4 linked regions of the Elephas maximus indicus genome follow. The protein of the gene in region 1 purifies or fractionates together with the protein of each later gene. This does not show direct contact. Links are inferred from orthologs where the notes say so. Each region holds a gene or a part of one and is shown on either strand. Other genes may lie near its edges.

Evidence for each region.
Region 2: the proteins of PPP1R12A (region 1) and RPA1 fractionate together in Homo sapiens (co-fractionation; 3 studies listed by BioGRID, with this or other methods). This does not show direct contact. The link is inferred for Elephas maximus indicus from reciprocal best matches to the Homo sapiens genes PPP1R12A and RPA1.
Region 3: the proteins of PPP1R12A (region 1) and RHOA fractionate together in Homo sapiens (co-fractionation; 3 studies listed by BioGRID and IntAct, with this or other methods). This does not show direct contact. The link is inferred for Elephas maximus indicus from reciprocal best matches to the Homo sapiens genes PPP1R12A and RHOA.
Region 4: the proteins of PPP1R12A (region 1) and PPP1CC purify together in Homo sapiens (affinity purification with western blotting; 3 studies listed by BioGRID, with this or other methods). This does not show direct contact. The link is inferred for Elephas maximus indicus from reciprocal best matches to the Homo sapiens genes PPP1R12A and PPP1CC.

What each region holds. Positions count from the first base shown.
Region 1 is NC_064822.1:142,343,995-142,351,205, reverse strand, and holds the start of PPP1R12A (protein phosphatase 1 regulatory subunit 12A), read left to right. Parts: upstream 1-4,206; 5' UTR 4,207-4,435; coding exon 4,436-4,672; intron 4,673-7,211. UniProt on the Homo sapiens protein: Key regulator of protein phosphatase 1C (PPP1C). Mediates binding to myosin. As part of the PPP1C complex, involved in dephosphorylation of PLK1. Capable of inhibiting HIF1AN-dependent suppression of HIF1A activity.
Region 2 is NC_064837.1:19,912,388-19,920,163, reverse strand, and holds the start of RPA1 (replication protein A 70 kDa DNA-binding subunit), read left to right. Parts: upstream 1-4,776; 5' UTR 4,777-4,902; coding exon 4,903-4,935; intron 4,936-5,417; exon of another isoform or gene 5,418-5,729; intron 5,730-7,776. Other genes in the region: SMYD4 (SET and MYND domain-containing protein 4), read right to left, coding at 3,096-3,229. UniProt on the Homo sapiens protein: As part of the heterotrimeric replication protein A complex (RPA/RP-A), binds and stabilizes single-stranded DNA intermediates that form during DNA replication or upon DNA stress.
Region 3 is NC_064838.1:53,868,122-53,875,187, reverse strand, and holds the start of RHOA (transforming protein RhoA), read left to right. Parts: upstream 1-4,049; 5' UTR 4,050-4,139; intron 4,140-7,066. Other genes in the region: TCTA (T-cell leukemia translocation-altered gene protein), read right to left, coding at 1,302-1,344, 2,913-2,967, 3,315-3,537. UniProt on the Homo sapiens protein: Small GTPase which cycles between an active GTP-bound and an inactive GDP-bound state.
Region 4 is NC_064840.1:9,270,899-9,278,906, reverse strand, and holds the start of PPP1CC (serine/threonine-protein phosphatase PP1-gamma catalytic subunit), read left to right. Parts: upstream 1-5,002; 5' UTR 5,003-5,220; coding exon 5,221-5,275; intron 5,276-8,008. UniProt on the Homo sapiens protein: Protein phosphatase that associates with over 200 regulatory proteins to form highly specific holoenzymes which dephosphorylate hundreds of biological targets.

The sequences.
Region 1 (7,211 bases):
CACTGATAATGTTGTACTTCAGTATAGATCCTGAAATATTCTTTTTGATGGTGAACGTGACACCATTCCTCTTCTACTTCTCATTCCAGGCATATAGACCATACGATTGTCTTATTCAAAATGGCCAGTACCAGTCTATTTCAGCTCACTAATGCCTAAGATATTGATCTTTATGCTTCTATTTCATTTTTGACAATTTCCAATATTCCTAGGTTCATACATCATACATTGCACATTCTGATTATTAATCAATGTTTGTAGCTGTTTCTTTTCATTTTGATTTGTGCCACATCAGCCAATGAAGGTTCTGAAAGCTTGACTCCCTCCACGTCATTAAGGTCGACTTTACTTTGGCAAGTGTGCTCTTCCCCAGTTGTATTTTGAGTGCCTTCTAACTTGAGGGGCTCATCTTCTACCACTATATCAGACAAGGTTCCACTGCTATTCATAAGGTTTTTACTGGTCAACTTTTTCAGAAGTAAACTGAGAGGTCTTTCTTCCAGTATGTCTTAGTCTAGAAGCTCTGCTGAAACCTATTCAGCAAGGGTGACCCTACTGATATTTGAAATACCAGTGGTAAAGTTCCTTGTATCGCAGCAACACGTAAGCCACCACGGTATGACAAACTGCAGACGTGTGGTGGACTTAACCATTAATATTTTATTTATATACTAATTCTTATTTTAGTTTATTTATTAATTTTATATTCAGAAGTAAATGCTTGCTTCAATAATAGCAAACTTCCTACGAAACTCCTCTTGCCCAAATGAAGACTGGAGTTACTGATCTGTATTCCAGAGCACTTTTATGAGCTACCAAATAGGCCACGTAACATTCTTGGAAAACACTAAGGATAAGCTGCCAGTTTTTCTAGGTAGACAGAAAAGCTAACAAGGCTATCCTCAAATTCCTTTCTTTCACTGTAAGAGCTGTATTCTGGAGTTTTTTAAGTGAATAGGTCTTTTGAATTTTAGTGCTAATTTGGAGTTTCTCAGCTCCTTACTCCATCATTATTCCAAGATGTGGTATTATCATTGGTGTATTTTACGCTTCTTACCCTCACCTTCTATTCCTACAGTATTTTCAGGATCCCTAACCTGGGATCATAACAAATTATGGATAACATTCTGAAGAATGGTAATTCCAGAACACTTAATCGTGCCTATGTGAAACCTGTACATAGACCGAGAGGCAGTCCTTTGAACAGAACAAGGGATAATACATGTTCTAAAATCAAGAAAGGTGTAGGTTAGGGTTGTATCCTTTTACCATACTTACTCAATGTGTACACTGAGCAAATAATCTGAGAAGCTTGGAGGAAGATTGGAGGAAGACTCATTAACAATGTGCAATATGCAGATGGCACAACCTTGCTTGCTGAAAATGAAGAGGACGTGAAGCACTAACTGATGAAGATCAAAGAACACAGCCTTCAGTAAGGATTACACCTCAACATGAAGAAAACAATAATCCTCACAGCTGCACTAATGAGCAACATCATGATAAATGGAGAAAATATTGAAGTTGTTAAGGGCTTCATTTTACTTTGATCCACAATCAATGCACATGAAAGCAGCAGTCACAAAATCAAGTGACGTATTGCATTGGGCAAATCTGCCGCAGAAGACCTCTAAAGATGTCCTTTGATGACTAAGGTGTGCCTGACCCAAGCCAGGGTATTTTTAATCACTTTATATGCCTGTGAAAGCTGGACAATGAATAAGGAAGACTGAAGAAGATTTGATGCTTTTGAATTACAGTGTTGGTGAAAAATATTGAATATATCATGGACTGCCAGGAGAACAAACGCATCTGTCTTGGAAAGAGTAAGGCCAGGATGCTCCTCAGAAGCAACGATGGCAAGACTTTGTCTCAAATACTTTGGACATGTTCTCAGGAGGGACCAGTCCCTGGAGAAGGACATGATGCTTGGTAGAGGGTCAGCAAAAAAGAGGGAGACCTTAATGAGATGGATTGACACAGTGACTGCAGTAATGGGCTCAAAGATAGCAATGACTGTGAGGACTGTAGGACTGAGCAGTGTTTCCTTCTGTTGTACATAAGGGTTGCTAAGATTGGGAACTGCCTCTGATGGCACCTGCCAATAACAACAACCTGGGCTAGAGGAGTCCTGGTGGTGCAGTGGTTAAGCACTTGGCTGCTGCTAAATGACAGATCAGAGGCGACTCACCAGCCTCCTCCGTGGGACAAAGATTTGGCAGTCAGCTTCTGGAAAAATTCACAGCCTTGGAAACCCTATGCGGCAGTTCTACTTGCTATGAGTTGAAATTGGACTGGACAGCAATGCGTTTGGTTTCCATTTTGAACCTGGGAGCCCTGGTTGTGCAGGGGTTAAGAGCTTGCCTGCTAACCAGAAGGTCGGCATTTCCAATCTACCAGCTGCTCCTTGGAAACTCTGTAGGGCAGTTCTACTCTGTCCCACAGGGTCACTGTGAGTCTGAATCGACTTGACAGCAACCGATTTGGTTTATTTTGGTTATATTTCTATGCTGGGACTTGTGGTTCAGGAAATTCAGTCTTATAGGTAGATTGTTTCCTAATCGGATTTTGGTCTATTTTAGTTTCCAATATGATAGCTACAATGTAGTCTACCGGAAAGGGTATCATGCTGAGAGTAAACAACGCTAAATTGTTCACTGCTGTATCCCCAGCATCTAGAACAATGCCTGACCCAGAACAGGTGCATAATATTTGTTGAATAAATCCTAATCCTGCTTTTGGGTGAAATTAAACATCAGTTAGTTCTTTGGCAACTCAGTCAAGACAATCCCTAAATTTCCCTTCGATGGTAGTATTTTATGACTTCTCTTATTTTACTTGTAAACGCTCTAAAAAAAACCAGTTGCATGAAAACAATGGGGTGTTTAGAAAAACATCAGTTGGTGGCGGTAGCAAATAGATGAGCTTATATTAGTATTTGTTACGTATCTCCTTTTTGAGTATGAGTAGTCAAACAAGGCAAATTTAGTGTTTCATTATGATTTTTTTTTTTTTTTGATGGCCTCAAGAGGTGGTTCAAATAAGCATGTCGTTCTCTTCACTGTTAATACGTGCAGTGTCTAGAACCATGACTGGCTTATAGGTATTCAATAAATATTAGAAGGGTGGTGAGACTTGTCTCACATACTTTGTACATGTTATCAGGAGCGACCAGTCCCCTGGAGAAGGACATCACGCTTGCTAAGGTAGAGGGTCAGTGAAAAAGAGGAAGACACTCAAGAAGATGGATTGATATAATGGCTGTAACAATGGGCTCAAGCATAATGACTGTGAGAATGGAGCAGGACCAGCCAGTGTTTCGTACATAGGGTCGCTGTGAGTCGGAACTGACTCTTTGGCACCTAAAAAAAATACTGGTTGAAATGGTTGCTATTATTTACATTTCTTTTGAACCCCATAAGTAGATACGTCTTTAGAAAAAGAGGGAGCAGGAAGCAGAAATCCCTTAAAAGGTCAGGACCAGTAACAAGGCCGAACTGAGCTCAAGAGGAATACTGGGCAGCTTAAAGCACTGAGAGAAAAGAGGACCCAAAATAAGCGTAAGGAGGTTAAAAACAAAAAGCCAGGCAGGAGAGGAAAGACGTTTGGCCGGACGTTTGGGTGTTGGCAGGAAGCCACTGCAATGACCGCAGGCCAACCCTGGGCACTAGGCGGTCATCTCCGGCTGCGATCTGGGGAAACTACGTCCAAAGTCCTTGGCTACACAGATCCAACTTTAAAAAGGTTCTGTTCAGTTGTCAGACGCCCAATTCTTCCAGAGTTCCTTGGAAAGAGAAACCACATGCACCTAACACAAGAACTATCCCCCATTCCATTCAAATAACGCAGGCCAATAGGAAAATCTTCCGTGCTGAGCAAACGACTCCGCAGAGCCAAGACAGCCTCGGAGGCAGGTCTGCCCCGCAATGCTGTGCAGGCCAACTGTTGGCCTTCGGGACCCTGGGAGCCTTTAGTGGGGCAGGGAAACCTTCCTTTCCTCCTTCTTCCCTCTCAGGTTGGTCCCAGCCCCCGCGGCCCGAGCCACACCCGCTTCCCTCCGGTGGCCGGGCCGCCCCCGTCGCAGTTCGCGGGAGCTTTCTTCCTGGGGCGGGCACAGACCCAGGGCGCATGCGCACGGGCCGAAGGGCGCCTCCCTGCCCGGATCTCGCGAAGTTACGTTACAGTGGCCGCCGGTGACGGGTGGCCAGGCCGGGGGCGGGAGGGCTTCTGTGGTAGGAAGGGAGGTCCGCTCGCCCGGGCGCGCCGCCCCAGTGCTCTGTGGGATACTGGAAGTCTCGAGCGTTTCCTCCCGGTTCCCAGCCCTCCTCTGGCCAGCCCTCATAGAAACAGTCACACACCCCCTGCCTCCCCTCTCTTCCCTCTCCGCCTCCCCCTTCCCCCCTCGCGATAAGAAGACCCGGCGGCAGGAGAGGGGATGAAGATGGCGGACGCGAAGCAGAAGCGGAACGAGCAGCTGAAGCGCTGGATCGGCTCCGAGACGGACCTCGAGCCTCCTGTGGTGAAGCGTCAGAAGACCAAGGTGAAGTTCGACGATGGCGCCGTCTTCCTGGCTGCTTGCTCAAGCGGCGACACGGACGAGGTCCTCAAGCTGCTGCACCGCGGCGCCGACATCAATTACGCCAATGTGGACGGACTTACCGCTCTGCACCAGGTCTGTGCACCCCGCCGCGCGCTCTCCTGACCCTGAGGGTTTCCGCCGTTCTTTAGTCAGGGCCTCTCCTCCGCTCTGGGCCTCCTGAGGCTGGGGGCGGCGGGAGAGACTCCCTGCTGTGGGGTGAGGGGGCGGTTTCCCGCGAGGGAGGGAGGGAAAGAACTGGTGGAGGGAGGGCGCAGGGCTTGAGGCCCCCTTCAGAGCAGTTGGTATTAAAGTTGGGAATCGGCTGGTTGACGGGGCACAGGGGAAAAGGGACTGTGGTCTGCTTGGGGCCCTAAGGCCGTTTGTAGTCGTGTGTCTGGGATTTGGGGTCGAGACGAGAAGGGGTGTAATGGGTTGTGTCTGGGCCCCGCTGTCAGGGATTTATTTGGGGGACGGGGATGCTGAAGAGAACTACTTACAAGGAACATTAGGGACTCTCGGGCAGATGGACATCTTTGGCTTGTAGGTGGGCATTGGATTTGTTGTACTTTTTAGGACTTGATTACAAATGATGGTAATAATAGTAATCAAGAGCTCTAAGCCGAGTGCCCTGAGCGAACGATTTCCTGTTTTCTCTTTTATTACTCTTGGTTACTGGGGAGGAGAAAACGGGGTGTAATTAGCTGATCTGCACCGGCTGAAAGGGAGGGAATGGAAGTGAGCGTTCAAAAGTGCTTGTCCATCTCCAGACCGGAACGCTTATCTGAGGTCCAGTACTCGGTGTGAGTTTGCTGCAGTGTCACAGATCCTGGAGCCCCAGGTCCTGGGCTGTGCACTGGAGTTAGAAAGAGAAGAATAAACATGGGGCATTCTTTTCAAAGCCGGTTACCAAGATCTGGTTTTTCTTTTGGGAGTGGGAAAAAGGAAAACTGGTCACAAACTTTCCGCAAAATGGATGCTTTGTGCATGTTAAAGTTTTATAGTGGTCTGATTGGGATCTCTCAATGTTAGCCAAATAAGGAGAAACTATTGGCAATCCAGAGATAATGTTGCTTTGCCTTTAACAGGCCAAAAGCAACACGACCACGTAGAGTTCTGCATAAAAAGCAATTTTTAAATGATGGTAGTAGGTAACAAGACATAGCCTCTTAGAATTTTCCTAGTTGGCAACTTGTAATTACTAGAAAACGACTTAACAGCAATAGCTTCCTCTGACAATGAAGAGATTTGTGAAATCTTTCAAAGTTGCTTGGCTGTAAAGGGAAGATTGCAGCTTTATTTTGAGTAATACTGTAGCAAAAACTTGTTTGGGAGGTTGAAACTTAAAGGCTTTATATTTCATGCATATTAGCTTGCTGTCTTTTGAAAAGAGAGGTGTGTGGTAGCATTTTTCCTTTTACTGCTTCCTGTTGAAGTGAATGATGACTATTTTAAGTTTTATTTAGTTGAATTCTCATATCATAGTTGGCTTATAGCCTTTGTTTACAGAGTTGACTGGATGAATTGAAATGATGGATAAATTAACAGGAAAATCTTGACATCAGAATGTGGTACCCAGTAAGGATATAGCTTGGTCTTTAGCTTTTTCTCAGTTCCATTAATTTAGATTCTTTAAGGTATAGCAAACTTTCTTTAGCCTTGCTTGATTTTAAGGCACAGCATAACTCTAGATTTTAAAAACATGACATTTGAAAATGAAAGAAACTTGTGGCATTCAAATGATATTGTAATTATGTAAGATGAATCTTTTCAAATTTGTTTCAAGTGTAATTTTAAAAGATAAAGCTGTTATTTTATCCCTGAGGTCAGCGTGATTGGATAATTTCTTACATTAGTATGTCTTATTAAAATTGTCAAATAGAAATTTAAACTTCCTATTATTGTTGTAGAGACACCCAAATATATTGGCTTGAAGGAGGATGAGAATCTTTTATACATTAATCTAATACTGGTTTAGGTACTGAAAGAGAAAGCGCACTTAACAGGCTTTTCAGATTCTCTTGTTCCCCCCCCCCATTTGTACAATGTTGCAACAATTACCACACTAATTTCTTCCTGACTAATGAATTCAGTGGTTAGTTTGGCATTATATAGGTGGAGTATTATTGAGTATTTGTTTTAGTTGACAAGTACTTAAGTAGAAGTTTCCAAGTTTATACATAAACCATTTGCATAGTATCTTTTTGTAATTTATCTGCACATTCCTTAAGTCAGTGAAGCAAAAGTCTTTAAAATATGAAGCATTAAAATTTTTATTGCGTTCTCTCCACTTGGTATTTCTCATTTATCAACTCTTCTTATACTTTTTTTTTTGCATTGTGGCTGTGAGAACAAGGAGTTCACTTTGGGCAAATTCAGGACAGCAGATAATGAAAGGTGATAAATATAACTTTTTTAAAAAGAACCACACACACACACACACAAAACTAAGCTTTTAAGAAACCTCCTGAATGCTACTTGTTTTAATAACTTAAATTATAAACCTAAAAGGATCCATTGTTTTTTTTTTTTTTAGTAGACCTTGAATAATTTAACTTCTCAAAAGATCTAAGATACCTAAGATATTTTTACGAGATTAATTATTAGTTATTCATTTGGAATATTCATTTACTTT
Region 2 (7,776 bases), on another chromosome or scaffold:
TTTTTGGAAACCCTGTAAAGGCAATTCACAGATCCTGTAGTGCTTTCCACTGTTTTTCAAACTGGAGGTCAGGACTCAGTGAGTCATGAAATCAATTTAGTGGGCCTGGATTAGCTTTTTTTTTTTTTAATTGAAAGAAGCAGAAAATACCAAAGTGCATCATGTTTAGTAAGCATCTAGGCCCTCTTCCTTGGTGAGCTCATCCAGTCTCATGCCTCTAAATGTCATTTACAATTCTCAAATCTGTATCTGTAGCTCAGGCCTCCTAAACTCCACTCATTTAGACATCTCAATTTCCACATATCTAAACGTAAACTCCTGATCTTCCTTCCCAAAACAGCTCCATCTGCAGCCTTTCTAGGTGATGGCAATTTTATTCTTCCACGTTTGACCCTTTAGGCTAAAGTCCCTAGAGTTATTTTTTTATTTCTCTCATTCTCTAACACATCACGTCCCATCTGTCAGGCAGAATGCCCACCTTTCATATGGGAGAACAGGGTTCAATTGCAGGCCAATGCAACCACCACCTGTCTGTGGAGGATTGTATGTTGTTATGATGATGAACAGGTTTCAGCAGAGATTCCAGACTAAGACAGACTAGAAAGAAAGGTCTGGTGATCTACTTCCAAAAATCGCTAATGAAAACCCTGTGGATCACAACAGTCCAATCTGTAACCAAGGCTACCACCCTGGTCCAAGCTACTATCTCATCTCTTACCTGGACTGATGCAGTACCTACCCAACAGGTCTCTCTGCTTCTCTCCTTCCCCCCTAGTTTATCCTCAACACAGCAGTAAGCGTAATCCTTTAAAACAGGGGTCAGTAAGTTTTTCTTAGAGGGCCAGACAGTAAATACCCTGGCCTTACAGGCCAAGAGGCAAAATCAAAGACATTATGTAGCTACAGGAGAGAAAACAAATTTCCACAATTTTTTGTTGACAAAATTAAAAACATAATAATAATTGTGTACAATGTTTTGTAATGCAGGTCTACTCATGAGAAAAAAATTTTTAATGATAACATTTTACTTAATTGGGGTTCAAGGTCAGTGTTCTCCATCATTAAATTGGTTGCAAATGTTTATGTGTAGAAACTATTCTTAGTTGGGCGATACAAAAACAGGCCAAAACCAAAAAAATCAAACCCACTGCTGTTGAGTTGATTCCGACTCATAGTGACCCTACAGGACAGAGCAGAACTGCCCCATAGAGTTTCCAAGGAGTGCCTGGCGGATCTGAACCGCCAATCTTTTGGTTAGCAGCTGTAGCACTTAACCACTGTGCCACCAGGTTCTCCCCCCCCCCAAAAAAAAGGCAGTGGGCTGGATTTAGCCTGCAGGCTGTAGGTTGCAGCCCCGTTTTAAAAAACAATCATATCACTCTTCTCTCAAAACTCTGTGCATTTGCTTTCTATTGCTTCATACAAATTGCCAAACTCAGCAGCTTGAAACAAAGCTCGTTTATTACCTCACAGGTCTATAGGTCAGAATCAAAGAAGGCTGAGCTGAATTCTCTACTTAGGGACTTACAAGGCTGAAGTCAAGGTGGGCTCTTATCTGGGAGATCAGGGGAAGAATCCAATTCCAAGCTCATTCAGACTAGTGGCAGAATCCAATTCCTTGTGGTTGTAGGTCTGAGGTCCCCAGTTCATTGCTGGCTGTCAGCCAAGGGCCACTCTGAGCTTCTGGAAGATGTTGGCGTTCCTTGCCATGCGGCCCCCTCCATCTTCAAAGCTAGCAATAGCACACTGAATCCTGCCATGCTTTGAATCTCTCTGACTTCCCCTTCTGTTAACAGTTGGGAAAAATGCTCTGCATTGAAAAGTTTCACCTGATTGGGGCAGGCATCCTCAGATAAGCTCCATATCTCAAGGTCAACTGACTTGGGACTTTAATTACATCTGCAAAATCCCTTCATTGCAGTCCCTAGATTAGTGTCAGATTGAATAACCAGGGGACAGGAATCTTGGGGGGCCATCTTTAGAATTCTGCCTACTACACCCCGCAAAAGCTTCCTACTCAGAGTAAAAAGACAAGGCCCTTACCAGGGTCTACATGATCCGTGCCATCTGCTCTCCCCCAATCCCCATGCCTGCCCCATTATATCTCTAGCCTTGTTTCCTACTACTCTCCCTCTGGCTTACTCTGTTCATCCACATTAGCCTCCCTGCTGTTCCCTCAACATGCCAGACACATTCCCAGCGTAGGGTCTTAGCTCTAGTCTCTGCCTGAGATGCTCTTCTCTTAGCTTGTTGACTCCTTTACCTCCAATCTTTGCTCAGGTTTCACTTTTTCAATAAGGCATACCCTGACCACCCTACTTAATACTACCACCTGCACTCTTGCTCCTGGCACTGCCTATTTCTCCTACCCTGTTCCACTTTTTTTTTCTTTCCCTTACTGTACCTATCACTTTTAATATATTACATACTTCGTGATGTTTATTGTCTCTCCCTCCTTGATAGAATTAAGCTCCACAACTGTTGACTATTCTGTTCGCTAATTATTCCAAGTATCTAGCACTGTACCTGGCATAACGTAGATGATTAATAGGTATTTACTGAATGAATGAAGTTTCAGGAAATTCCTATTTCTGTTTTCTACATATGTGTGTAGTAGATTGTGGTGTAAAATGTATTTCTTACTGAAGGTGCAGTCAAGAGAGTTTGAAAACTGCTGGAGTTAAACTATATGACCTATAAGGTCCTTTCCAAATTTGAGCACTTAACAAAATTTCACATGCAGCTAGTAAATCTCCACCATATCCTTTGGGAGATGGCAACGTTCACAACCTAGTGACTATAGCAAGGCACCGAGTTACTGAAATACAACACTGACACAGAGAAAGCTAAATAGTCATCCTTACCTGTTCTGTACGGTTGCTATGAGTTGGCATCGACTCGACAGCAACGGGTTTGGTTTGGGTTTTTTTTTTTTTTTTTGGTTCTATGATTGTGGGTTAGAAAAGACTGGAAACAGGAAGAATTGTTGAATGCCCCCAAAACACAAAAATCTGAAATTAAACTTTCCACAAAAAGAGATATTACTTCAGAGCAAACAAAAGAGAGCAAGTTCCAGATCACTTCTAGTCACTTACTGAAAAAGCGAAGAGCAGTGAAGGAAGACATCACTCAAAGTCCCTGCTGTAGAAATTGTGTCCCGAATGGACGTCGGGAGCAAAGCCCACTTCCTGAGTATATATGCTTTCCACTCATCCACAGGCAGATCCATGCTACTTTAGATCTGTAAAATGAGTAATAAGGAATCAGATTTCTATAAATGCACAATGCCAGACAATTAAGATTTTATTCAAGCAAAGTTAACGCAAAAAAAAAAAAGCAATTCTTTGGGTCTTTTCTATATTTGTTTATATGGATGTTTTGTTGTCTCGTGGGGCAGTGGTTAAGAGCTCAACTGCTAACCAAAAGGTTGGCAGTTTGAATCTACCAGCCGCTCCTTGGAAACCCCATTGGGCAGTTCTACTCCGTCCTGTATGGTTGCTCTGAGTCAGAATCGACTTGAAGGCAGCAGGTTTTTGTTGTCTTATAACAAATGTCTGAGGAAAGATCTATATCTTCTCACACCAACTCACTCAATAGTAACTGAAAGCCTACTACATTCCTGGTACCACGTTAGGTGATTGCTAATCCATGATGAATCAGAGTAGATAGCTACCATCACTGTCCTCTTGGAAGCTCTACCTACTTAAGTTGCTCAAGTCAGAAGTCTGGGAGCCACCAGATTTTTCTTTTTTACTCATCCCGGCAACTATTCAGTTAACAAAGATTTCTCTCCTACGGTTCAGTTTTCTCCTTCAACTCCCAGGCCATTCTTTCAGTACAGGCCTCAAGATCCCTTGCCTGACATCCTTTCCAGCATCATAACTAGTCTCCTTGCCCTCAGTTCCCCCGACTTTGAGAAAGATGTCAGTCCTCTGCCTTAAATGCATCAATGCTCTTCCTAGTACACAGGGAAGACCAGTACCAACTCTTCATTATTTGACCCTTGGCTTCCTTTCTAATTCTCAAGTGCACTTCCTTCTCTGTACTCTACCATACTGAAATACTCATAAGCTACCTCTTGTCCCCCAGTTTGCGAGGCTATTTCATCTCTCCAAAATTTTTGCAGAGTCTATTCATTCGGCCAGGTTCACCCTACTCTCACTGGGTGTTCACCTGGTAAACTCCCATACATCCTTCCAGGTTGTATTCATACGGCACCTCCTCCTGGAAGCCTTCCCTTGATCTTCCATCTATGATTGCAGTATACTTTGTGTCTGTCCGGTGCATACCTACTTTTAGTTTGGGCTACTCACGGTCGGTGGCTACTCCCCCGACAGACTGTGCTCTCCTCTGAGGGCAGGAGCTGGGTCTTATTTACCTTCAGAGGCCCCCACAGTGCCAAGCTCAAGGCCTGGCACCGGCAGGCGTTCGCACTGGGCTGGCCAAGGAACAAAGTCACTGCTTTGCCTATATTTAGCAGCAGAGTTCCCAGGGAACAGCTCTAGCTCTCCTCCGGGCTGCCAGTCTGTCTCCCCCTAAAGACAGCGCTGGGTACGCTCCCAAGAGCCCGTTCGGGAAGCTCCCGGAACTGGGCCCCTGGCGCCCTTAGCTGTTTCCGCGCAACTCTTGGCACGTCCTGCGGCTCGGCGCTCCGCCCCCACGCCCCATCGTCCCGCGACAAGACCCCGCACGCCCTTGGGCGGGTCACGTGGGCCGTCCACCTCGTCTCGGCCAGTCCGGTTGCTGCTTGGCCCCTGGGCCCGCCCCGGCGCCGCACGCACGTCGGGAGGTGGCGTGGCGCGCGCAACTCCTTGGGCCAATCGTTTTGGAGAGCGCGAGACGCCGGGGAGCGGAGTGGGGGCTGCGGAGGAGCCGGAGCGCCGGAGTTAACGCGGGGGAGCCATGGTCGGCCATCTGAGCGAGGGGGCCATTGCGGTGAGCGGCCGCCTGGCAGCCGGGCGAGCGGGACGGGGAGCTGTGGGCCCTGGAGGCAGGGAGTTTGGAGATGTGCGGAGTGGAGGAGCGGAGGGGATCTAGGGGCGGTGGGGAGAGGACTCGAGGGGAGTAGATGGCGGAGGGGAACCGCCGAGGTGTCTTTCTTGTAGGGTCCATCACTCATTCGTCGAAGGATTTTACCATCGTCTTTTAAACATGGTCACGTGTTTCGTATCTAAGAAAACAAAATAAACACCTGACTCCCCGATTTCCCTGCGCCTGCCACTGTCTCCTCCCTTTTCCCCATCTCAGCCAAACTTCTGCAAAGTTGTTTTCAGCTATTTCATTGCTTCACCTCGCATTAACTCGTTAACATGCTCCAATCGATCATCCCCCGATCGCTATAGAAATATCTCTGGCTTAAGTTACTGGTGGTCTCCACGTCGTTAAATCCAACAGATACTTTTCAGTTTTCAACTTACCTGAGTTCTCAGCAGCGTTCTCAGTCTGTCGAGCATCGCTTTCTTGTGGTTACACTCTCTTCTTTTGGCTCCTGTGGGGCAGCTTGGTTGATCTTTGTAAATTTTGTTGACTCGAGGCTCTCTTCTAGGCCATCCTCTCCCAAGGCAACCTCATAACCATCTATGTATGGCAATCATTCACACATTTCGTTGTCCCGAGCTGCCTTTATGCTGAAAACAAGCCTGTTTACCGGATATCTCAAAGGCATCTCAAATTCAACATGCCAAAAGCAAACCCGTTATCTTCCTTAGTCTGGGTCTGTCAGGGTTCTTTATTTTGGTGAATGGCACCATTGTCGGTTAAATTATGCTAGCCAGAGATTGAGAAATCATTCTTGTGACGTCCTCCATCATCCTGTATGTCCGTTTACTTCACCAAGTCCTGTATATCTTACCTCCACATGTGTTTCTTAAATTCGTTTATTTCTCTCCATACACAGTGTCATGTGTTGCCTGGATTACTCACTCCCTACTCAATACCCTCTTCCCTTCACTCCTGTCATCCCAGATTTTCACTGCTCTCTCCCCAGCCTCATGGTCTTTTTTAAGTTCCTGGTATATTCCATACTCTTGCCTTCCGCGGGACCTTCGAACATGCTTTTCCCTCTGCCTGTTGCCTGAGTGGTTCGTCACTCTCCATCTCTCTAGCTAACGTTATCTTCAAATCCCAGCTCAGCTGGGACTTCCTGAGGGAAGCCTTGTTTGACCAAATTTTGGGAACGTACTGCTTCTTCACTTACCACCTGTGTAACTTTGGGCAGGATACTAAATGTTTCTCTGCCTCCTTCCTCCTCTTAAAGTGAAGGTGATGATACCGAGTGCCTATTCCATACGTGGGAGGATTTAATGAGTTATTCCATTTAAAGTGCTTAACCCAGTGCCTGATACATAGTAAATGCTCAATACATGTGTCCTATTTTATTTATTTTGTTGTTGAGAGTATACACAACAAAACATACACCAGTTCAACAGTTTCTACATATACTATTTAGTGATGTTGATTGCATCCTTCGAGTTGTGCAACCATTCTCATCCTCCTTTTCTGATGTTACCAATTTTTTATAACCACTGATTTAATTTTACATTTGTAGGTTTATTTAATTAAGAGCAGTTACTTTTTGACTCTCCCACTGGATTGTAAATTCCATGAGGCCACTAATTATGTTTGCTTTTTTGCTCAGCATAGATAGAATTGCCAGCACTGCTTTAGCTACTGGGGATACTGTGCCCGATGTTCACTAATCACATGAATGCATTAACCAAAACCAAACCTGTTGCCGTCTAGTCAATTTAGACTCGTAGTGACCCTGTAAGACAGAATAGGTTTCACAGTGTGGCTGGCAGATTCAAACCGTCATCTTTTGGTTAGCAGCCAAGCTCTTAACCACTGTGCCACCAGGGCTCCCTCAATGCATGAGGCAGTGAAAACAAAGGGATACTGATGGATGGGGAAGAAAGGGAGCTTAGGGGAAAGCAGGAGGGGGAAGAAGGGTAGGTGGAGGCCTGTAAATACTTGCTAAAATTTGGGGATGCAGAAATGCTGAGACCTGAAAAGTGATTGCAGACTGTAGTCCTCATTCTGTCCTATAGGGTCGCAGTGAGTCGGAATTGACTTGACAGCACAGGGTCATTGGGTTAGTCCTCATTCTGACTCAACAGCACTGGGTCACTGGGTTAGTCCTCATTCACTTTGTAGTTGCTACCTTGCACCTTAAAGAAAATTATGAATGGTTCTTCACTTTTAAAAGGAATGATCATGAGATAATTTAAATTTGCTGAGTGATTTTTCCCTGTATTCAAAATTTTAGAAACATATTTCCAGTGTTGGGTAAAGTGTTACTTGAGTTTTACTCAAATGAAGGAAAAAAAAAAAGACGTTTGCATGTGTGTATGTGTCTATCCTGGCAGCGTGTGGCGTGAACTTTTGTGAACTTTGATTATGAGCTAAAACAAGTAGTATCATTTAAGTGCAAAAGACACAGGCCCAAAGGGGAAAGAAAAGAGCACACGAATAGTAGAGGCTTTTTGAGCAAAATAAAAATAAAAGATTATGCGTGGAACTGTTGTGATAAATGGAATAAATGGCATTTCTATCTTAAGTACTTGGGTTATAGAAAGAAAGGGGAAGGAACTAATATTTCTGCTTTCCAGTGTGCCAGACACTTTGCAGATAACAATCAGTACTTATATTAACCCTGTAAGGTGGGTTTTTATCATTACCCCCATTTTACAGATGAAGAAATGAAAAGTGCAGAGACATTGAATCATTTGTCTATAGAGCAGGGACCCAAATTCATGTGCCCTTGACTATCACATTCTG
Region 3 (7,066 bases), on another chromosome or scaffold:
AGTGTGTTCATCACAGCCCCCACTTCCAATGCCCCTCTGCCTTAAGGATGGCCTAGGCAAAGGCTGCCATATCGAAACGTGACCTCTAACTGGGAGGAAGAGGGCAGTGGGACACTGAGGTAGCTGGTAGCCCAGCAGAGGCAGGCAGAGATATTGCCATTAGAGAGTGAGGCAGGTACAGGGCCTCATTGCTTTCAGCAACCAGTGTTTCTTTGGGGATGTTTTGCAACACACACCTTTGGAAGCTCCCCTGGCCTGCTGTGGAGGTGGCAGGCCTGCCTGACCTGTGGCTCTTCTGCATTGAGATGGTGCTGGTGAGGAGATGCTAAGCCTTGGGGCTCTTAGGATGAGGATCCTGTTGTTCCAGGTCAAGGTGGGAAGTGATGAGGATGCAGTGCATGATGGGGCTGCTCTGTACTAACTGCCCAGTACCTCAGTGAAGGACATGGTACATACTCAAGACCCATAGACACTTCAGTGCCGGGGGTGGGAGGCCACCCCAGGAGCTCAGCTGGTGGGCTCTGCCCCTTTCAGGCACCCAATTTTCCCTCCAGAAAGACTGAGGAATATGAATAGGACATTTCGGAAATGACAATTTCCTCTGCCTGGGTCATACCTAAAGAGATCTAGATGGGCCAGGGAGATGGTGTTCAGTGCCTCCATGATTGAATGGTGCTAGCTCCCCCTGCCATAGGACCTTATATCTAAATAGCTAAGTAACTTCTCAATACTTCCCAGTGAGGGAGCAGGGTGCAGACCTGAGACCCCACGGGCACTTCAGCAGTGCGGGCAGGAAGCCGCCCCAGAGTATAAAGCCTGGCCCAGGCCAGGATACCCTGGCTCCCTGCCAACAAAGCAAAACCAAAGGAATCCAGGGAACCCAGGGCTTAGGGGAGAACAGACTTCCTTACAAATCCCATGGCTGGTCAACCGCAACCTCATCCTCTCAAGGAGACAAATCTCTATGGGGTCATACCACAGGGGGATGGGAAGAGGGCCAGGAGATATAGGACAGAAAATGGATTGTTGGCTTCCCCAATCCAAAGGCTTCTCCTGAGCTCCAACCCCTGAGAGAGGAACAGCATACTTTTCCCCCTTAAGGCACACAGATCAGGGTAGAGGCAAAGTTCACTGACCCAATGCCTGGGACTGTTGGAGGCAGGGCTGAGGGCAGCAGAGGCCCAGCCCTGCAAGTGCTAAGGTACTCCCTGTCCCCAGCCCCAATCCTCCTGTAGTCATCCACAGGACTTGGCAGCAGGAGAACCCAATGTGGGAGCCAGGAGACTCCCTGTTGCCTTCTTTTATTCTCTGTGGGTTTTGAGAGGTTCATTTGCTGCAGTTTCCCTGAAAGTGATGGAGAGAGAGAAGAGAGGGGTTATTTCATGGGCAGCAGAGCAGTCCCTGGGATTGGCTCATCCCAGACCCTTCTTGGGAGCTGAGCTGGGCTCAGTAATGCCATACTACGATCCAGACCTCTCTGCTGAGCTTTAGATTCCTAGTGCCTCACAGGCCCCACAGTCCACACTGGGCTCAACACCTTCCCCCTGCAGACCTGTTCTTCCTCCTGGGTCCCCACCTTATGGTGCCACCATCCTTCCCCAGTTGCACAAGACAGAAACCTGGGCAGTGGCAGGCTTCCTAACTAGCCTATTGCCTTCACTCTTGGACTGCTTCATCTTGCCATGACACAGGCAGTTATAAGGCAAATTAGATCAGGCCCCACCTCCTGGAGTCCTTCAATAGTTTCCTGGACCTTAGGATAAGGGCCCTACAGGTCCCTCCTCTCCATATGCTCATTCATTTCTAAGCTCCTATGTATTATAGGGGCCACCATTATATTTTGGAAACAAATAACCTGTATTCTAGGTTTCATCTGTCCACAGATGGAGAGGAATTTTATCCCAGGTTGGAAAACACCCAGAGTGTCACTCATACTTGATTTAGATGATTCAAAAGATGAGATTTTGGACTTAAGAGTGGACACTGGAATGGGTTAAGACTTTTGCGATGGGATGAACGTATTTTGCACATGGGAAGGAAATGGAACTTGGGGTAGACAGAGGATAGAGTGTTATGGATTAAATGTTTCCCCCAAAAAGTTATGTTGAAGTCCTAATCCCTGTTATCTGTAAATATGACCTTGTTTGGGGAAATAGTTTCTCTTTTCTTATCAACTAGGTCAAATGAGATCAAACCAGAGTAGGGTGGGCCCTAGTCCTAATTTCTTTTGAGGGGTGTCTTATAAAAAGGGAGTATGTCATGTAGTGGGAATATAAATGCCATGTGACAATGAAAGCAGATGCATCAATAAGCAGCAAGGAAAAGCCAAAGATTGCTGGCAGCCACCAGAAACCAGGAGAGAGGCCTACATAAGGAATCAACCCCAATTTGGCTTAATTAGACTTTTAGTCTCCAGAACTGTGAGAAATTAATTACTGTTTTTTACGGCAGCTCCAGGGAACTAAGACAGAATTTGGTCTCAGCTCAGATTAGCTGAATGACTGCCTGATTAGTGAGTTCATGTTTCACACATCAGGAGGCTGGCCTTGATGAGGCCAGTCAGTGCTCTAAGGACAGAGACTCCTGGCTTCCCAAATGAGGGGCTTACATTGGAGAGGAATGCAACAGACCTGTCACTTCATCTCTCTGAAATTGTTCCCTCATCTGTAAAATGGTGATAATGTCCCTACCACCCACTCCACAGGTTGCTGGACAGCATGCTTAGAGAAGCTGTCCAGGTATCAGTGTCACCCCCAGCTTGAAGCCTGAGTTCTGGCTGTACACCTTGGAGCTTGCTGCAAAGGCCACTAAAACTGGTGGACTCCCACCCCGAGAGCCCCCTCCCACCACCTCCGGCACAGGAACGTCCTCTGCCTGCCAAGCATGGGGCTGGGGTGGGGACAGATACTCACCAGGAAGGAAAATGCGTGGAGCCATCAGGTGTGGATCCGTTCTGGCCGCCCAGACCTGGGGGCAGGAATACAGCCAGAGCTGCAGCAGGCTGTGGGGTGGGGCTCTGGGCAGGCATCAGCCCAGGTTAGGTTAGGAACCAGTTATATTGTTTGGTGAAGAGTCAGGTGGGGGTCCTAAGGGATAAGCGGTATTGTCTGGTGGGAATTCGGGGAACGTTACAATGCGATGGGTGGGCTGGTGGGGATTCTGGCGTGAAATGATATGGTGGCATTAAACAGTATGGGTTCAGCGTCAAATTCTGATAAGACTCTCGGAGAACCAGCGGTAGTCTAGGGAGATCCTGGGGAGCCGTACAGTCCGCTGGGGGCGGGCGGCCCGCGGAGGTTGATGGGGAACCTCACCTGGGCGGTGATACAGCCCGGTCACCGTGTTCCCGTAGAACCCCCACGCCAGCTGGATGCCCAGGAGACTTAACACCAACCACAGCAGCAGCAGCTTGAAGAGAGTCACGCGCATGTCCTGCGCCTCCCACTCCCGCAGGAACTCGCTGCCCAGGGCGCCCAGTGCGCCCAGCACCGTAGCCGGCAGAGCCTGCAAGGACTGCCCGGACCAAGGCTCCGCCATGACTGGCCTGCGCCCCACCCCAGGGACTGTCACTGTAGTCCCCACCGCGCAGGCGTCTAGTTTTCCGGGGCCAGGCCGGTTAGTGCGCACGCGTGAGCCCAGGCGGGGAAGGCCTACCGCGGTTGCGCGAAGAGTTGGCAGTTCGGGGAGGAGTATTTACGACGCGCACGCGCACCTAGACCCACCCGGCTTAAAGGATGAGTGACTCGAGGGGTATAAAATAGCAACCAGGTCTTTTATAGCCCCAGAGTTCCCGTGATGCCCCGTGCGGCTGCAATGATTGGTTAAGCGCCTTGCTCTGAGGGCGTGGACACGCTCCTGAGCAATCGTGGCTGAATTGTGAGTGCGCGCGCGTGCGCGGGGCCGCGACTGTGGCCGGCTCGAGCCCGCCGGGCGCCCGGGGGCGCGCACGTCGCTCCCCGCCCTCCCGCCACCGCCCGCCCTCGCTCGCTCGAGCTCCCCGCCCGCCGCCCGCCGTCCTTCCTCGGTTCTCTCGTTAGTCAGCCGCCGCCTCCTCAGCGACCAGCCAGCGCCTCCGAGCTCGCGACTCGCGGAGCGGCGTCCTCGCCACGAAGAGGCCGGACTCGGAGTCGCCGCCAAAGGTGAGCGGGAGGGTTCACTCCCAGCGCCGCGGCGCCTCTGGTCCGCCCGCTCGGCACTGTTCCGGTCGCCCGCCTGCCGCCCCTCCGCAGCCGCGCCCCACCTGCTGCTTCCAGCCGGTCGCCCCCGGTGTCCGGTCCACGGTCCCCGGCCCATGGCTTCCGGCTCTCGGTCCCGGCCCCGCGCCCCGAGGCGACGCCCCGCCCGCTCAGGCCCCGGAAGCGCGCCCCGCCGCCGCCCGCGCCCCTTCCCCCGCCCGGTCGGGCCTGGTAGATAGAGCCCAAGCTGCCTGCTCGTCCGCCGCCCCTCCCCAGCGCTTCCTCTCACTGCCGCGCCGGTTCCCCGCCCAGCAGTCGCGGCGGCCGCGCCGGGTAGGGCGGGGGCTCCGGATCCGGCCCCGCGACCGCGCGGTACTGCCGGCCTTTGCGACTCGCGCGTGGCTGTAGGAGTTGAAATGGGAAAGTTACTCTTTACAACTCCATTTTGCTTTTTTACATTCAGTGTAATATATGAATGTTTTATGCTGTTTGAATTCAGTGTTTGGGGTACATTTCCTTTTTTAATGTAGTGTTTTTGGAGATTGTGTTGTAATCTTAGGGATCAGGGCTATTTGTATTGTAAAATAAGAAAAAGTGAGGACGTTTTCCGCTTGAAAAGAGCATTTTTTATGATCTATGTTCCACCAAAATAGAGTATTAATTTGCAATTTTAATTAGTCCTTTTTATTATTTTGATTAGGAAGCATCTAAACATTTGTCCCTAGTTACTGATTGGATCCACAGTTACAGGTAGTCTTCATTAAATAGCATTATTTGCGCACAAATCGATTTGATCAAAAACCATGTCTAGTAGTTTATGGCGGAAAAATGACATATTTTTTGCCTCAGAGTTGAGGAAGAAGGTAAAAAATGACACTTTTTTTTTGATAGTTTTGATTTAAGAATTTTACCTGTTTGTGATCTGGTCGGTTCTTTTTTTCTTTACCCTTTTGAAGTAAATTTTTTCTTGCAGGCGTGTAATCAATTATATTCTTCTCTGCCAAAAATGAGGGAAAAAAATACTTCTGTATTAAAAGCTTTTTTTAAATATTGTATGTGGTGAGAATTTTTGAGCCACTTTTAGTTTTGTTTTGAGTTTTAGTGTCCCCCACACAAATGTGTAGTCTGGACATGTACATGATTGTCACCTTACCTGTACCCGTTGCCCTTGGGTCGATTGTGACTATAGGACCGAATAGAACTGCCCCATAGGGTTTGCAAGGAGCACCTGGTGAATTCAAACTGCTGACCTTTTGGTTAGCAGCTGTAGCTCTTAACCATTATGCCACCAGGGTTTCCATTAGACATGACTGAATTGGTGGTCATATTATTTTGAGGGCTTGGCACAAGTGACGTTGTTTGCACTGAAAATACAAGACTTTTTCTGAATTGTAAAAGATGACTTATTGAGGTTATCTTCTGATAAATTGTATTAAGGATAGTTCCTATCTACTGTGGTAGATCACTGATGGCTCTTGGGAATGTAACAAAAAATATGATATGGAACTTGCGCTTTGAGTCAGATTTTAGTCCTAGAGACTTATGATCTCTGTTCTCATAAGAGATCTGTGCTGGAGGGAGAAGAGAGTAGGAATATAGCTATCAACTGACTTCATAGAACCAGAATTTTAGACCTGGAAGGAATTTTCAGGACTTGTAATCCAACCCTTTCCCCTCCCTTTTGCAGATGAGGAAACTGAGTCCCAGAGACTTAAGTAAATTTACCAAGCTCACGTATCTTGTTGGGGGAGCAGATTAGAATTTTTTTTTGTAAGGTATTCTCCACGCACTCCCGAGTATCAGGCCTAGAGTCAGCTAAAATCCAGGGCTTCCAACTTAGTCCAGTGTTTTCCACTTTTACACCTTGCTGGTTGCCTTTGGAAACCCTAGTGGCATAGTGGTTAAGAGCTGACCGCTGACCAAAAAGCTGGCAGTTCGAATCCACCACGCGCTCCTTGGAAACCTTATGGGACAGTTCTACTCTGTCCTGTAGGGTCAGTATGACTCGGAATCAACTTGAAAGCAATGGGTTTTTTTTTTGGTTTAGGAGAGTCTAAAAAAATTTGTCAAACAAATTACAGTTCTTTGGCTTTCACAACACTCTCCTCTGTATCTGGGTGGTCCTGTAGCAGTTAAATGATGCAGATAAATGAATGTGCAGGGTGAGTGGCTGGCCTAGTCCTGGCTTTGGGTATTTGGGTCTTCTTGATGAACCAACTTTTTCCAGAGGGGAGTCCAGACTTCCTTTCTCCAAATCCATCATAGTTCAGCCTAAAATGTTATCAGGTAACTGTGGGCCTTTTTGAGTATTGATTTGGAGTGGGTTTGGGAGAAACTGCTCATATCAAGTAAACAGTGCATGTGCATGTGTGAGAGTGGTTTTGTTGTTGGAGTTTTTTCATAGTCCTGATTCTTTGTCAGTTAACTCTTTTAAAAGTTTGTCCTGGTCATGTGGGGAAACCCTGGTGGCTTAGTGGTTAGGAGCTACAGCTGCTAACCAAGAGATCAGTAGTTTGAATCCACCAGACACTCCTTGGGAACTCTATGGGGCAGTTCTCCCCTGTCCTAGAGAGTCCCTATGAGTTGGAGGCGACTCCTGACGGCAGCGGGTTTGGTTTTGGTCATATGGTGGTGTAAGTTATTAGGGGAGTAAAACAGGCAGATCTTCAGGTGTTTCCTGTCCATGGGGTGGGGTCCGACCAAGCAGTGACAGCGGGAGCTGAGGTGCTACTTAGGGTCTTCTTAGTTGTCCTAGAGCGGAGAGATTTGTGTTAACTCTGCCAGGAGACAGGCTGGTATTTCAGCTTTTAAGAGGTTTTTTTAATTTGGGTTTGATGAGCTTTTGTAGATAGCAGCTTGAGTTTAAGCATTACGGCTGCTAGTGATAATGA
Region 4 (8,008 bases), on another chromosome or scaffold:
GACGCTCTCTGGGTACTGATGTTACAGGATATTTCGTGAATCAACATTTCTTTATGATTTAGGTGTCATGGAAAATTAAGAGCAATGCCGTGATTATGTAAAATGTTTACCTTAGGGGAAACTGGGTGAAGAGGTTATGGGCAGGCACTGTACTAGCTTTGAATTTTTCTGCAAATCTAAACTAAAAAGCTTATTTAAAAAAATGAGATCAGATCATGTTATTCTTCTGCCCCAAACCTTGCAGTGACTTCTCATTACGTTTAGAATAAAATCCAGATGCCTTCCCACGGCCTACCAGGCCCCGAATGATCTGGCCCCTGCCCACTCTCCAACTTCCCCTCCTAGTACTCTCTCCTTCACTCTACATTCTAGCCTCTCTGGCCTTCTTTCCATTTCTTCAACACAGGAAGTTTGTTCCTGCCCCAGGATCTTTGCACTTGGTGTTCCCTTTGCCAGGAAAGCTCTTCCCTATATAGTTCTTCCCACGCCTTCCTCTTTCTCATTCTTCAAGTCTTGACTCAAATGTCACCTTCTCAGAGTCCCTCTCCTATGTGGCCACATGATCCCTTTAACTCTGTCATAGCATACCACTCTGAAACTGTCTTCTTTGATTGGTTCATCTGTTTCTGTCTGTCTCCTCCACTAGGATGGGAGCTCCATGAGGGCAGAGACTACATCTGACTTGCTCACTTCTATGTCCCCAGCTTCTCACTACGGTGCCAGACACATAGTAAGGCCTTAATAAACGGTGGTCAAAAGAGTATCTGCTGGCAACACAGTAGGACATTGAAATAAAGCTTCGCTTCACAAAAGCTATGGACTTAGTCAAGGGGATTCATCCATATTTTGTTTCCTGTGGTTCCCCACTTGGTACAGAGCCTTCCGGATAACCAGATAGGTCCAGACGTGCTGGCGAACCTCATCGTCAGCACTTCTTTCAATCATTTAATGATAATCCTTAGTGCTCACCAAATTGGGGGGGAATGGAAGGAAAAGAGTTCACCCCAATCTTCTAGATGGGAATTCAAATTTTCGCCCAGGGACCCAATGTAGCCCACAGACATGCTTTGTCTGCTGCAGACTGTGTCTTAGAAGAATTTGAATTCTTGACCAAATTTTAAAGATTGAAACATTTTACATAAAAATCCAAATTCTCCTGAAAAATCTGAGGATCTGGCCACACTGGGCCCATGTTCCCATTTGGCTCCAACAAACTGGAGCTGGGAAGTGGCCACCCCTTTAGATGGGATGTGGGTTCCCCAGTTCACTGCAGTCTCTACCCAGCCAGCTAGATCCCCCTCAAAGCCTAAGGATGGCTTACAGATATAATTGGTTTTCAAATCTCTTATTTTAAATTACTTCAAATGTTACACGAAAGCTCAATGTATTAAACAGATAACAGTGATAATGTTGTTCGGGTTCGTTGTGAGTAGCCATGGAGTCAGCTCCAACTCAAGGCAACCCCACGGACAACAGAAGGAAACATCGCTCAGTCCTGTGCCATCTTCACAATTGTTGGTATGCTCCAGTCCATTGTTGTGGCCACTGTGTGTTCTGAGTGCCTTCTAACCTCGGACGGCTCATCCTGCAGCATTATATCAGACAGTATTCTATTGTGATCCGTAGGGTTTCATCAGCTAATTTTCAGAAGCAGATTGTCAGGTCTTTTCTCCTAGTCTGTCTTAGTCTGGAATTTCCTTGAAACCTGTCCACCCTGTGTAGCCCTGCTGGTATTTGAAATGCAGGTGGCATAGCTTCCAGCATCGTAGCAACTCACAAGCCACCAAAGTACAACAAACTGACAGATGCGTGGTAGTAATAGTAATAATAAAGCCCATTGCCGTCAAGTCGACTCAGACTCATAGTGACCCTGTAGGACAGAGTAGAAGCACCTTATAGGGTTTCCAAGGCTGTAACCTCTATAGAGGAAACCCTGGTGGTATAGTGGTTAAGTGCTATAGCTGCTAACCAAAGAGTCCACAGTTCAAATCTACCAGGTGCTCCTTGGAAACTCTATGAGGCAGTTCTACTCTGTCCTATAGGGTCACTATGAGTTGGAATTGACTTGACTGCAATGGGTTTCATTTTTGTTTCTTTTTTTTAATCTTTATGGAAGCAGACTGCCACATCTTTCTGCTGTAGAGCGGCTGGCTAGTGGGTTCAAACTGTCAACCTTTTTGGTTAGCAGCCGCTGCTTAACAACTGCACTACCAGACCTCCTTTAATAGTAATAATAAACAAAAAAAATCAAACCCATTTCCAACTCATTAGCGAATCTATGAGTCATCGCTATGGTTCCAACTCATAGCGACCCTATAGCACAGAATAGAACTGCCACATAGGGTTTCCAAGGAGCGGCAGCTGGTGAGTTCAAACTTCTGATCTTTTGCTTAGCAGCCAAGTTCTCAACCACTGCGCCGCCAGGGTTCCAATAGTAGTGATAGTTAATATCAATTTAGCAGTTACTGTGTGCTGTGGCTCTGCTTTGGTTGACTTGAGAGGGCCAGGGACTAGAATCCTGTCAGCTCCCCATTTTCCTCAGCAGGAAGTTCATTTGAAAGAAATAAATTTTAATCTACTCTCCTCATTTTGCAGATAAGCAAACAGGCCTGGAAAGAGGAAGGGACACTCCATCCATTAGGCAATAGACTTTCTGGCAAATTCTTGCATCAGCAAGGGGGTGTGATGGGGTGGGAGGTGGAGGGTCGGGATGGGGGAAGAGTTCATCCCATTATCCACTAGGATTGATCTTGGTAGCAAAGACCAACAGGGAATCAGTTCTTTCCTCCATGAACTGCGGTTCCCAGGAGCTGCTCAGACCTTCCCCTTGAGCTCAGGCCACTCTCAGGCTTGGAGCCAGCTAATTCCCTCAGGCATGTGCCAGCGAAACTGGGCTCTGGAGGGAGTTGCCCACGCGGAGAATGGCGTGTGGATAGAGGCCCTCCCAGCGTCCCAGCCCAGTCTGAAGTTCTCCTACAACCACGTGATGTCGACAGAGACTAACACACCTGCCACTTTGCATATGGAAACTTCCAGCAGTCTTCTTGTGGCTCAATGCATCTTTATATCATTCCATTGGGTTCTCTATCTGTGAAGGGGCTGCTGTGTGCCAGAATCGTGCTAGGTGCTCGGGATTCACTGAATATGAACAAGGGCTTTGGTTTCAGGATGTCCCACCCTGACTCCGTAACTTACTAGCTGTGTGACCTTCAGCAACTGACCTAGTCCTCTGTGCCTTACTTCATCTGTAAAATGCGGATGATAGGAATGGTACACAATTCCTAGAACTGGCTTGGGGATTCAATGAGATGTTTTGGCACGTACTAAAAAACATGAGCGCAGTGTTTGTGCTTTTCCCCACTGCACTTATCAGAAGCTGGTATTTTTATTTGCGTCTCTGTTTATTGTCTGTCTGGCTAACTAGATGATGTTCCATGAGAGAGGGACCTTGTCTGTCTTGCTCACCCTTGCTTCTCGGCCCAGAACAATGCCTGGCACAGAGTAGGTGCTCCATAAATATTTGGCTGCCCAATGAATTGCCGTCTTTCAGATTCCTGCGCTCATTGCCATTGCGATGACGCGCCTTGCCCTGGAGCAGCCCAAGGTCTCGTGGACTCCGGCGTGAGCCACCCAGCCCTCACCAACCAGCTGTTCACAGCAGTGCTGGGCACCGACTTCGAATGTCACCAGTTGGGCTCAGTGCCCTGGACTGACAAGGGACACTAGTATGACTTGCGGCGGACACAGTCACAGCACGGGAGAATGAGCTGGCGATTCCGGACAGCCAGGAGAGCCCCACACTCCAACCCCCCGGCGACAGTAGTGGGTGGGGGGGCGCCCAGGTGCATGAAGCCAGGGCCCCCAGGAGCGCACCGCTTCCGAAGATGGCTGCCCAGGTGGCGCCATCACCGCGAGGGCATTTGGGGATGGGAATTCCTGCATCCTGCGTCCCTTGAGAAATCAAATTAATTTCTCGGAGGAGGGGAAGGGCTTTCCAAACTGTAAAGCGTTGCAGGGAAAAAGAGATGTGCGGAAAGGTCAGGAAAGAGAATGTTTGCTGAGTGTGGGCTGCACTTCAAAATCCAACTAAAAGCCATGCGCAGCCCCCGGAGGTGCCACCATCTCTAGCCCCCACGGAGAGGGATGCACCTTGGAGCTGTTGGGAAGCGGGAGGGGAGTGGCCCGAAGTTTCACTGGGGATCTGTAGAACCCGGCCCCAGCCCGCACTGCCGGCCTCTGCAAACTTCTCTTCCGGCCTCAGCTCCGACGCGCGAAATCTGCAAACTCTCCCTTTATCTCCTGTGCACGCGCTCTTTCAACTTCGCTCTGGCTAGAATCAGGGTAGCCGTTCCGATGATTATGTAATTGCCGAGTGCAGGAAAGATAATCTAAAGACAGGGATGATGGATTTTTTTGTGTGTGTGTGTGTAGATTTTTAAACATCTTTTTTTTTTAATGTAAGTGTCACAAAAGTGCGCAGAGAAATAATATACAACACCCATATTTCCCACCGCTTAGAATGAATAATTGTTAACATTTTCTGAAGGCAAAATAAATCAACATACATCTCTTTATTATCCTCCCTCTCCACCCCCATCCCCACACCAGATTTATTTTAAAGCATAAATTCCAGAACCGCATAAAATCCGTTGCTGGACATCCACGTGGCCAAGTCTACAAACACGTGGCCCCAACGAACACAACCCTGCGGAAGCCGCAAAGCTCGGAGCGCACACGTGTGTTCCGCGCCCCCTCTCCTCGCAACCCCAACTCCCGCGTGCAACTTTGCAACTCACGCTCGGGCCGGGGGGCCTATTTGGTCGACCCGTTTGGCGGAAGGATCTGCGTGAGGGCCCAGTCACTCTCAACGGTCTCCTCCCCCTTCCCGCGCTCTGGCCACGCCCCCTTCCGCGCCCGGGCCCGCCCCCTCCCGCGCGCCCTATGGCCCATAAAGAAGTCCCGGTCGGGCCGCTGCACTCCCCCGCGCGCATCCGTGCGCCGCCCGAGGTTGGCTGAGGAGTCGGCGGCCATTTTGTTCTTCTCGTGGTTCCAGTGGGGAGAGAAGGAGGAAGCAGGGAGCGGGGCGGCTGGGGGGACCCGCCGCGGCTGCTGCCACCGCCGCCACCACTGCCTCTGTGCTCGTGGCGTGGGGAAGGAGTGCGAGTCCCGGGCGCGAGCCGGCGGCGGCGCCGCTGCGGGAGGGTCGGCGGTGGGAAGGCGATGGCGGATATAGACAAACTCAACATCGACAGCATCATCCAACGGCTACTGGAAGGTGAGAGGGACGGCGGGCGGCTGAGGGGAGGCGAGCGCTGGGGCTGTGGGCAGCCAGGGGCGCTCGCGGGAGGAGAGTTGGGGGGCCGGTTGGGCTTGCAGCACTGGGGGAGCGAACCCGCGAGTTGGCCGGCGGGCCGGGGGCTGCAGCTGGAGGGAGGCCGGGCCGGGATCCCGAACTTGGCTCAACCCGCGGCCCCGCTCATTCATTGCACGAGGTTGCAGTCTTTTTCTTGGCCTGAAATTTGAAAACTTCGCATCGCACCCCCACGTTTCCCGCCCCTGCCCCTTGAGCCCCGCAAAGTGGACCAGTCTTTGCAGGAGAGAAGGTCGGGGGCTCCAATCCAACCTGCAGGACGGCGGGTTCCGGACTTTAATCCGGCCAGGATCGAGTTTCTGGTACTTTTCTTCTCAAAAAGCAATTTGATGGGGTTGGGTTCCACCAGCTTTGGGGGCTTTTTCCTATCTTGCTTTATTTTTATCAGTTCCCCTGCTCCTCAAGTGTTTTAAGTTGTTCTTATGCTGAAGAGATCTCCGCGCTCTTTTCCTGAGCAGGAAAGCAGCGAGGGTGACAGTATCGTTAACATCTTTTCAAACGTGCCAGGTTTTAAGCGCTGTGTTAAGTGCTTTGCGTCCATCAAATTACAATAATAGCGCACACTTCTAAAGCGCTTACTATACGTCAGGCATTCTATGAGCACTTTACACAGATTTCACTTAATTGTCCCCACAACCCTGCCAGGTGGGTGCTATTTTTTTAATTTTTTCCCCCGTTTTACAGAAGAAACTAAGGCACAGAGAAGTGAAGTCACTTCTTCAAGGTCACACAGCTAGTAAGTGACAGGCTTCAAAGCCAGGATCCAGAACTCGCTACATTCAGCTGTCACCCTATAGATGACCCTGTGTGCAAAGGAAAACGGAAGGTGATGTCCCATGAATAAACTAAGGTTAAAACAAAACTTTAATTTAACCTAAGGTTTGAGGTGCGTGGTAATGACTCCTATTGATAGGGAGAGGGATGAGGTTCAGATTTTAAAGGGAAAGCTGAAATTGCTCTGCCACCTTCGGGTTCGGAAGCATGTCCAGTAATACAAATATCTCATCCCAGACTTGGGAAGAATTCAGCCACATAATTTCCTTTTTTGATCTGGGCACAGGGTATTGTTGTCAGTTTGGCTGAGTTGTAACTGCTTTTTGCTTGATACTGCTGTCCTCAAATAGGGTTGAATTTGCATGCACAGAGTGCATGCTAGAGCACGAACAACTGGGCAAAGTGGGTTTTGCAGATCTTTTGAAGTCATTAAAATGAAATGCCTGAGAAAATCTTTTCCTATTCTTAATCAGTGCCTTTCATTTTTCTTCTGTTCTACAGTATTTTGTAGCTTTCTTAAAAGAAAACTCATTTCACGACCCCTGAAATGCTCTTGAAATGTCACCACCATTTGTGGGTGAAAACCTTGTCATTCATTCAGTGCTTATAAGAACCAGAGACTAAAAGATCAAATACTTTTCATGTTATTTAGTACAGTTCTTTGATTGATATGAAGCAGTAGTTGGTCGTTTTGGCAGTGAAAAACGAACGTTTTGTTAAATATTTTTATTTCAGTTTTTAAAATTAACTTCTGCACATCTGTGCAGGGGTGTATGGCTATATTAGAATGGCTTTATGGTGGCACAGTGGTTAAATGATTGACTGCTAACCAAAAGGTAGCTACTAACCAAAAGGTCGGCAGTTCGAATCTACCAGCCACTCCTTGGAAATCCTATGGGACAGTTCCGCTCTGTCCTGTAGGGTCGCTGTGAGTCGGAATATACTACTCTCTGGCAGTGGTTTTTTTGGGGGGGGGGGTATTTCTCAGAGAAAAACCGAAAAAATTAGAATCCACATGGATTAGAATTTTAAGATAATTTAAATCTTGAAGTTCTGGTTTGCCTGTAACACTATTCACCTAACAGATTTTGGTAATTTTAATCTTAAAAAGGAAGAAAATTGTGCTAAGAAATTTACCTTCATAAAATGGGCCCATCTAAAATGAGATCAGTCATCGTTTCTTAATTCCTAGGTTTTTTCCAATGAAAACGAAGAAAACAGAACATTTTAATGCCTGAGGAATAGGCTAGCTGCCCAGTATTCTTAGATTTCTTTCTTGTGGGTGTTAAGATGGTAGAGAAACTGCGCAAGATAATTCATCGAGGATACGCATACATCCCAGTTGGGAGACGTTGATAATAAATTTGGTAGTGTTTGTAATACATATTTCAAAAGCCTTTTTCCCTAAAACTTTTAGTTAATATTTCAGTATATGTGAAAATGAGTTTTGTGGCCTTGTGAGACTTCTTTACATGTTCAGAATTATCTGATATTTAAGGTCCAGGACTGTGCAGCTTAGCTTAGAAGTAACAAAGGGGAACTCAAAAGTGAAGTCCTGTTTAAGAAAACTTGGTGTTGATTTATACCTTGGTCCTTACGGCTTTGCCGTTGTCTGACTGTGAACTTGGAGTAGTTTTTCCTGAAGCTGGGCATCACTTTTGCAACCCACCTGGGAAGGTAGAAGCTTTTATCTGAGCTCTGCCTTGCTGATGACAAAACCTTGAAGTGGTTGTTCCTTAGTATAAATGATGCTCACTTTTTACAGAACTACGTAGTAAAAGCGTGCATGGGGAAATTAGAGACAAAAGCAATCAGCTGTTGATTTGGTGTGATAGTCTATGTGTTAGAGAAAAGACCGAGTTG